Linked DNA regions of Macaca mulatta. Each later gene encodes a partner of the first gene's protein in a complex. Links are inferred from orthologs where the notes say so. Each region holds a gene or a part of one and is shown in the gene's direction. Other genes may lie near its edges. The genes, in order: IL1A and S100A13.

Region 1 (4,607 bases):
TAAGGCATTATAATGATGACTATACAGGTTCTTGAGTGACTGAAGCCATCATTAGCATTGTTATTATTTTTGTTTAGTTGCATCTCCATAGCAGCTCACATTCACAATGTGCTTTGCAATTGTTCCTTAGCAATAGCCCTCACAAGATTCTCAGGAGGAGAGGGGGTAATCAGGATTAACATTTCTGTGTTGCCTAAGGAGGAACCAAGGTAAGCAGAAATGTAGCCAGTTGGCTGACATCACTGTTCCTTCAGGATTTATCCTTAGACACCCAAGCTTCTACCCTAGTCTGGTGCTACACTTACATTGCTTACATCCAAGTGTGGTTATTTCTGTGGCTCTTGTTATAACTATTATAGCACCAGGTACATGACCAGGAGAATTAGACTGGCATTAAATCAGAAAAAGAGATTTTGCACCTGAAATAGACCTTATGACATCTAACCAATCCTATTATTTATAATTAAACAGGAACAGAGGGAATACTTTATCCAACTCACACAAGCCGCTTTCCTCCCAGATCCACACTTTTTTGCTTTTCTATACCATGTTTTAGTGCCTTGCCTCTTTTTTTTTTCTCTCCCTCTTCTACCTTGTTCTTCCATCCATTTCCTTTGTTTGTTTGTTTGTTTATTTTTTTTTTAGAGATGGGGGCTTCACTACGTTGCCCACACTGGACTCGAACTCTGAGCCTCAAGTGATCGTCCTGCCTCAGCCTCCTGAACAGCTGGCACTACAGGGGCATGCCACCACACCTAGTTCATTTCCTTTATTTAAAATATTTATGGCTTAAACTCCACCTGGGAACATCCATTTGCTAAGAGTCTGGTGTTCTGCCACCTGAACTAGGCTGGCCACGGGAATTATAAAAGCTGAGAAATTCTTTAATAATAGTAACCAGGCAACACCATTGAAGTCTCAGATGTAAAAATCCATGCCTTCCTTTCTCCCAATCTCCATTCCCAAACTTAGCCACTGGCTTCTGGCTGAGGCCTTAGGCATACCTCTAGGGGCTTTCACACACCTTCTTCTACAGAAGACACACCTTGGGCGTATCCTACAGAAGACCAGGCTTCTCTCGGGTCCTCGGTAGAGGGCTACTTTACTGTAACAGGGTCAGGGTGGAGAGTTCTGTCCCGAAGCTCTGTCCCCTCTCCAGGAAATGTGTTGACAATATTCAGAGGAGTAAGAGGGTCAAGACTTCTTTGTGGTCAAATATCACTTTTCTCTTCTCTACCCTGACCTAACCAGGAGCTTGTCACCCCATACTCTGAAGTGATTTATGCCTTAATCAAGCAAACTTCCCTCTTCAGAAAAGATGGCTCATTTTCCCTCAAAAGTTGCCAGAAGCTGCCAAGTATTCTGCCAATTCACATTCAACCTGGAGCACAACCAACAGATTCAGCCGGAACACAACTCCAGCTACTATTAGAACTATTATTATTCATGAATTCCTCTCCAAATCTAGCCCCTTGGCTTCTGATTTCAGGATTTCTCCCTTCCTCCTAGAAACTTGATAAGTTTCCTGCACTTCCCTTTTTCTAAGACTACACGTTTGTCATCTTATAAAGCAAAGCAGTGAATAAAGGAACCAAGTCAATAACTTCTGGAATATCTGCAAACAACAATAATATCAGCTATGCCATCTTTCATTATTTTAGCCAGTATCAAGTTGAATGAACGTAGAAAAATACAAAACTGAATTCTTCCCTGTAAATTCCCCGTTTTGACGACGTACTTGTAGCCACGCCTACTTAAGACAATTACAAAAGGCGAAGAAGACTGACTCAGGCTTAAGCTGCCAGCCAGAGAGGGAGTCATTTCATTGGCGTTTGAGTCAGCAAAGGTATTGTCCTCACATCTCTGGCTATTAAAGTATTTTCTGTTGTTGTTTTTCTCTTTGGCTGTTTTCTCTCACATTGCCTTCTCTAAAGCTACAGCCTCTCCTTTCTTTTCTTGTCCCTCCCCGGTTTGGTATGTGACCTAGAATTACAGTCAGATTTTAGAAAATTATTCTCTCATTTTTCTGATAAGGACCGATTCGTTTTACTGAGAGATGGCAGAATTAGCTTCCTGTGAGGGCATGGGGTGAATACAACTGAGGCTTCTCATGGGAGGGAATCTCTACTACCCAAAATTATTGGGAGAAAATTGAACATTTCCAAGTCTGTCTCTCCCTTACCTCTGTGTAAGGGAAACACCTTATTCTTGTGGTGTTTCTGTAACCTCTTCAAACTTTCATTGATTGAATGCCTGTTCTGTGCAATACATTAGGTTGGGCACATAAGGAATAACAATATAAATAAAACATTCTAAAAGAAGTTTACGATCTAATAAAGGAGACAGGTACATAGCAAACTAATTCAAAGGAGCTAGCAGATGGAGAAAATGCTGAATGTGGACTAAGTCATTCAACAAAGTTTTCAAGAAGCACAAAGAGGAGGGGCTCCCCTCACAGGTATCCGGGTTAGAGGCTGGCTGAGCTGACCGTGGCTGGTGTTCTCTGTTGCAGAAGTCAAGATGGCCAAAGTTCCGGACATGTTTGAAGACCTGAAGAACTGTTACAGGTAAGGAATAAGATTTATCTCTTGTGATTTAATGAAGGTTTCAAGGCTCACCAGAATCCAGCTAGGCGTAACAGTGACCAGCATGGGGCCAGGCCGGCAGAGGCTGGAGGAATGTGTACTAGTTCTGAAGTCAGAGCAGGTTCAGAGAAGACCCAGAAAGACTAAGCATTCAGCATGTTAAACTGAGATTACATTGGCAGGGAGACCGCCATTTTAGAAAAGTTATTTTTGAGGTCTGCTGAGTCCTACATGAATTTCAGCATCAACTCAGACACAGCCTCTGTTGAGATCACATACCCTGATATAAGAATGGGTTTTACTGGTCCATTCTCAGGAAAACTTGGTCTCCTTCAGGAATAGGAAATGACTCCACAGCAAGCTGGGCATGTGAACGCAGATACGCAGGCAAATCTCACTCATATGTAGAAGAAAGGTAAATGAACACAAAGATAAAATTACAGAACATATTAAACTAACATGATGTTTCCATTATCAGTAGTCAATACTAATGCAAACTAGGCTGTCAAAATTTTGCCTGGATATTTTACTAAGTATAAATTATGAAATCTGTTTTAGTGAATACATGAAAGCAATGTGTAACATATAATCTATTTGGTTAAAATAAAAATGAAGTGCTTCAAAACCTTTCTTTTCTCTTAAGGAGCTTAACATTCTTCCCTGAACTTCAATTAAAGCTCTTTAATTTGTTAGCCAGGTCTAATTTTTATAGATAAAGCACAGGTAAAGCTCAAAGCCTCTCTTGATGACTACTAATTCCATATTAGTAAGGTATGAATTACTCTACCTATGTGTATGTGTAGAAGTCCTTAAATTTCAAAGATGACAGTAATGGCCGTGTGTATGTGTGTGACCCACAACTACCGTGGTCATTAAAACACGTTGGCCAGAGACCAAAGTGAAATAACAAACAATTACATTCTCATCATCTTATTTGGCAGTGAAAATGAAGAAGACAGTTCCTCCATTGACCATCTGTCTCTGAATCAGGTAAGCAAATGACTGTAATTCTCATGGGGCTGCTATTCTTACACAGTAGTTTCTTCATCAAAAGAGAACAGCAATGACTTGAATCTTAAATGCTTTTGTTTTACCCTCACTAGACGTCCAGAGACCTGTCTTTCATTGTAAGAGAGACCAGCTGCCTTATAAAGTTGATGTGCATTGGCTTCTCCCAGAACAGAGCAGAATTATCCCAAATCCCTGAGAACTGGAGTCTCCTGGGGCAGGCTTCATCAGGATGTTAGTTATGCCATCCTGAGACAGGCCCCGCAGACCGCTTCACCAGGGGTCTGTCTCCTAACATGATGTGTTGTGGTTGCCCTCTCTGACACCAGCATCAGAGGTTAGAGAAAGTCTCCAAACATGAAGCTGGGGGAGAGGAAGCAAGCCAATTGAAAGTGAGAAATCTACAGCCACTCACCAAGCTGTGTCATTGTGTTTGGAGACCACAAATAGACAGTATAAGTACTGCCTGGTATGTCTTTGGTACTGGCTTTAAAAGCTGTCCCCAAAGGAGTATTTCTAAAATATTTTGAGCATTGTTAAGTAGATTTTTAGCCTCCTGAGAGGGAAGTAATTGGAAAGCTACCACTCACTACAATCATTGTTAACCTATTTAGTTACAGCATCTCATTTTTGAGCATGCAAATATATGAAAAAGTCTTCCTAAAAAATCATCTTTTTACCTTGGAAGGAGAAAGGAAGGTGAGACAAAAGGGAGAGAGGGAGGGAAGCCTAATGAAACATGAGTTACCTAAGACCAGAATGGAGATCCTCCTCACTACATCTGTTGAATACAGCACTACTGAAAGGACTTTCATTCCCTGACCACGAACAGCCTCTCAGTTTCTGTTTTCCTTCCTCTAGAAATCCTTCTATGATGTAAGCTATGGCCCACTCCATGAAGGCTGCATGGATCAGTCTGTGTCTCTGAGTATCTCTGAAATCTCTAAAACATCCAAGCTGACCTTCAAGCAGAGCATGGTGGTAGTATCAACCAATGGGAAGGTTCTGAAGAAA
Region 2 (3,594 bases), on another chromosome or scaffold:
ATTAAAGGTGTGAGCCACCATGCCTGGCCAGTAACATTTTATAATGTTAAAAAGAATCCTGTAAGCCGGGTGTGGTGGCTCATGCCTGTAATCCCAGCTCTTTGGGAGGCTGAGGTGGGTGGATCACCTGAGGTCAGGAGTTTGAGACCAGCCTAGCAAACATGGTGAAACCCCATCCCTGCTAAAAATACAAAAATTAGCCAGGTGTGGTGATGGGTGCCTGTAATCCTAGTGACTCGGGAGGCTGAGGCAGGAGAATTGCTTGAACCCAGGAGGCAGGGGTTGCAGTGAACTGAGATCATACCACTGCACTTCAGCCTGGGCAACAGAGACTCCATCTCAAAAAAAAAAAAAAAGAAAAAAAAATCCTGTAAATAGTTTAATTGGGATCATATAAAAGATATATTTTAGGGAAAATTGACATTTTTACCCAGTTGAGCCTTTCTCTTTAAGAAAAATATATATTTATCTAATTTTCTATTTATTCAAGTTTTTTTTAAATATCCCTGTGGTATAATATGAAATATATAGTTGTCATTTTGTATCCATGGGAATTATTCCCAGGACCCCCTTGGATGCCAAAATCCTTGGATGCTCCAGTACCTTTTCTTGTCCTTTTCTTGTAGAGATGGGGGTCTCACTATGTTGCCCTGGCTGGTCTTGAACTCCTGGGCTCAAGCGATCCTCTCACCTTGGCCTCCCCAAGTGCTGAGATTACAGGTGTGAGCCACCATGCCTCGCCTCAAATCCCTTATATGAAATCAGATAGTACTTGCATATAACCTATGCACATCCTCCTGTATACTTTAAATTACAAGTAACTCTAGGTTACTTGTAATACATAATGCAATGCCTACTCATCACTTCATTCACATGGATTCAACGTAGTACTTAGCATGGGGCAAAATTTAAGTTTTGCTTTTTGGAATTTTGTGGATTTTTTCCTTCAAATATTTTTGGTCTTAGGTTGGTTGAATCCAGGGCTGTGGAACCCACTGATACCGATATGGTATTTGGTATTTGGCCTTTGTTTTGTTTCTGTCTTCAGCTCTTTTTTTTTTTTTTTTTTTTTTGAGAGAGTCTCGCTCTGTCACCCAGGCTGGAAGGCACTGGCTTGATCTCGGCTCACTACAGCCTCTGCCTCCCATACTCAAGGGATTCTTCTGATTCAGCCTCCCAAGTAGTTGGGACTACAGGTGTGCACTACCACACCCAGCTAATTTTTGTATTTTTTTTTTCTTTTTTTGAGACAGAGTCCCACTTTGTAGCCCAGGCTGGAGTGCAATGGCGTGATCTCTGCTCACCACAACCTCCGCCTCCCAGGTTCAAGCAATTCTCTTGTCTCAGCCTCCCAAGTAGCTGGGATTACAGGCTCCCACCACCATGCCTGGCTAATTTTTGTATTTTTAGTAGAGACAGGGTTTCCCCATGTTGGGCAGACTGGTCTTGAACTCCTGACCTCAGGTGATCTGCCCGCCCTGGCCTCTCAAAGTGCTGGGATTACAGGCGTGAGCCACCACACCTGGCCTGCTTAATTTTTGTATTTTTAGTAGAGGTAGGGTTTCGCTTTGTTGGCCAGACTGGTCTTAAACTCTTGACCTCAAGTGGTCCACCCACCTCAGCCTCCCAAAGTGTTGGGATTACAGGCGTAAGGCACCACACCCTTCCTGCTTCTTCCTTCTTAATACTTACTTATTTATCTTTACTAATTGAATGCACCCCCAATATAATGTTACAGTAGTCATCCTTGCCTTCCACTGGCAGTGCTTGTAGTATATTATAATTAAATGTGGTTGTAACTTAAAAAAAAAAGTCTTTTTAGCTCTTCTGTGAATCAGCTTTGTTCCCTTTAGAGATTTGGTGAGTCTTCTCTGTCTGCGTCCAAATGTTGGTTCAAACCTTGAGCATCACACCCTGCCTGAGGCACCCTTCTCTTGTTTGATGTTGAACTATTGTTCAACAGTCAACGTTTTGGTTGTGCTTGTTTATCTGGCAACAGGTCCTTCGATCAGGACATCTGGTTTACTGTTGCCATTGATTTCACAGGCCTATGAGAGAGGCTGTGTCAAGGGCCCCCTAAAAACCCAGATACTCCATGTCTTTCCCCTGATCTAGTGACCCAGCTAGATAAATGAAAAGACACAGGGGTCGTGCGAATGAGCAGCTAAGTACTGGGAACTTCTTCAGCTTTCTGATAAAGAGGAGGGTGGCCCCAGAAAGCTCAGACTGGGTCCAACCCTGCAGCATCTCCCCGAGATGCTGGCAAATCCTTGGGCCGATCCCACAGCAGCTGCAGCAGTGTGCTGGTGAGAGCAGATTGTGTGCATTTCTTTCCAGCTTTATATTAAGCGACAACCTGTTTGTGCCATGGTGGAAGTATTTACACAATGGCAAGCACTAGGACTCAGGACCCCTACCTCTCTCTGTTGGTGCTCCTTGGAGAGGCACCCCATGGCAGTGTAGTTTTGGGGCTGCAGCCTCATTCTTTAGAGAAGAGGCAGGTGCCACTGCTCTCTGAGGGAAGGGCCTTGAGAGAATGGCAGCTGGCAATTCTTCCCTCCCTGTTTTCTCAAGAACCCCAGTTTCTAACTCTACCCTTTCCTTTGGTGTCTTCTCAGGATGTGGGCTGTCTTGATGAGAAGATGAAGAGTTTGGATGTGAATCAGGACTCGGAGCTCAAGTTCAATGAGTACTGGAGACTGATTGGGGAGCTGGCCAAGGAAATCAGGAAGAAGAAGGACCTGAAGATCAGGAAGAAGTAAAGCCGCCTGGCTGGGATGGGGGTGGGCAGGGCAGGGCTGGTCAGGGCCGAGCAGAACTGCACTCTTCTCAAATAAAGCTTCATCCTTGAAACACAAATGTTTCTTACTCACACTCCATCCTGATTTCTTTTCTTGAGACCAGAGGGTGGGAAAGCTCTCCCTTGACCTGAGGATGGATCTGAAAATTATGAGCCCCTTGAGGACAGGGAATGTTATTCATCTTTGAACATTCCGCATCATCTAGCACCAGGTCTTGTACAGAGCAGATGCCCAGTAAATGGTTAAATGAATATATGAAAAGTAGAGGCAGAGGACTGGGCACAGTGGCTTACGCCTGTAATCCTAGCACTTTGGGAGGCTGAGGCGGGTGGATCACTTGAGGTCAGGAGTTCAAGACCAGCCTGGCCAACATGGCGAAACCTCATCTCTACTAAAAATACAAAAATTAGCTAGGCTGGGGCCGGAAAATCACTTGAACCCAGGAGGAGGGTCTGTAGTGAGCCGAGATCGCACCATTGCACTCCAGCCTGGGAGACAGGAGCAAAACTCCATCTCAAAAATGAAAACAAAACAAAACAAAAAAAATGAAAAATGAAAAAGAAAAAAGAAAAGTAGAGGCAGAGATGTGGGGCAGGAGAGGTGACTCAGGGGCTCAGCTGCATGGTCCTGCTGTGTTTCCTTTTTCTTGGAGCTTGTCCGTTGGATGACAGTGATAGTGGTGAACATGTATGGAGGGCTTACTAAGTACCAGGTGCAGTGCTAAACATTCTGCCTGTATTGCCTTAGTTAATTTTCACAGTCCTTTGAGGAAGGCGCTATTTTTAACTCCTAT

What was found.
Region 2: the proteins of IL1A (region 1) and S100A13 are in contact, whole or in part, in an NMR structure (PDB 2L5X), measured with the Homo sapiens proteins. The link is inferred for Macaca mulatta from reciprocal best matches to the Homo sapiens genes IL1A and S100A13. Residues at the interface, in NP_000566.3 of Homo sapiens: Asn148, Gln150, Tyr151, Thr194, Ala195, Gln196, Asp197, Leu203, Leu204, Lys205, Glu206, Met207, Gly216, Ser217, Glu218, Thr219, Asn220, His239; in NP_001019381.1 of Homo sapiens: Met1, Arg25, Gln26, Glu27, Gly28, Arg29, Lys30, Asp31, Ser34, Asp68, Ser69, Glu70, Lys72, Phe73.

The regions. Positions count from the first base shown.
Region 1 is NC_133418.1:22,867,502-22,872,108, reverse strand, and holds the start of IL1A (interleukin-1 alpha), read left to right. Parts: upstream 1-1,748; 5' UTR 1,749-1,846; intron 1,847-2,512; 5' UTR 2,513-2,520; coding exon 2,521-2,567; intron 2,568-3,526; coding exon 3,527-3,575; intron 3,576-4,454; coding exon 4,455-4,607. UniProt on the Homo sapiens protein: Cytokine constitutively present intracellularly in nearly all resting non-hematopoietic cells that plays an important role in inflammation and bridges the innate and adaptive immune systems.
Region 2 is NC_133406.1:113,415,428-113,419,021, forward strand, and holds the end of S100A13 (protein S100-A13), read left to right. Parts: intron 1-2,618; coding exon 2,619-2,762; 3' UTR 2,763-2,859; downstream 2,860-3,594. UniProt on the Homo sapiens protein: Plays a role in the export of proteins that lack a signal peptide and are secreted by an alternative pathway. Binds two calcium ions per subunit. Binds one copper ion. Binding of one copper ion does not interfere with calcium binding.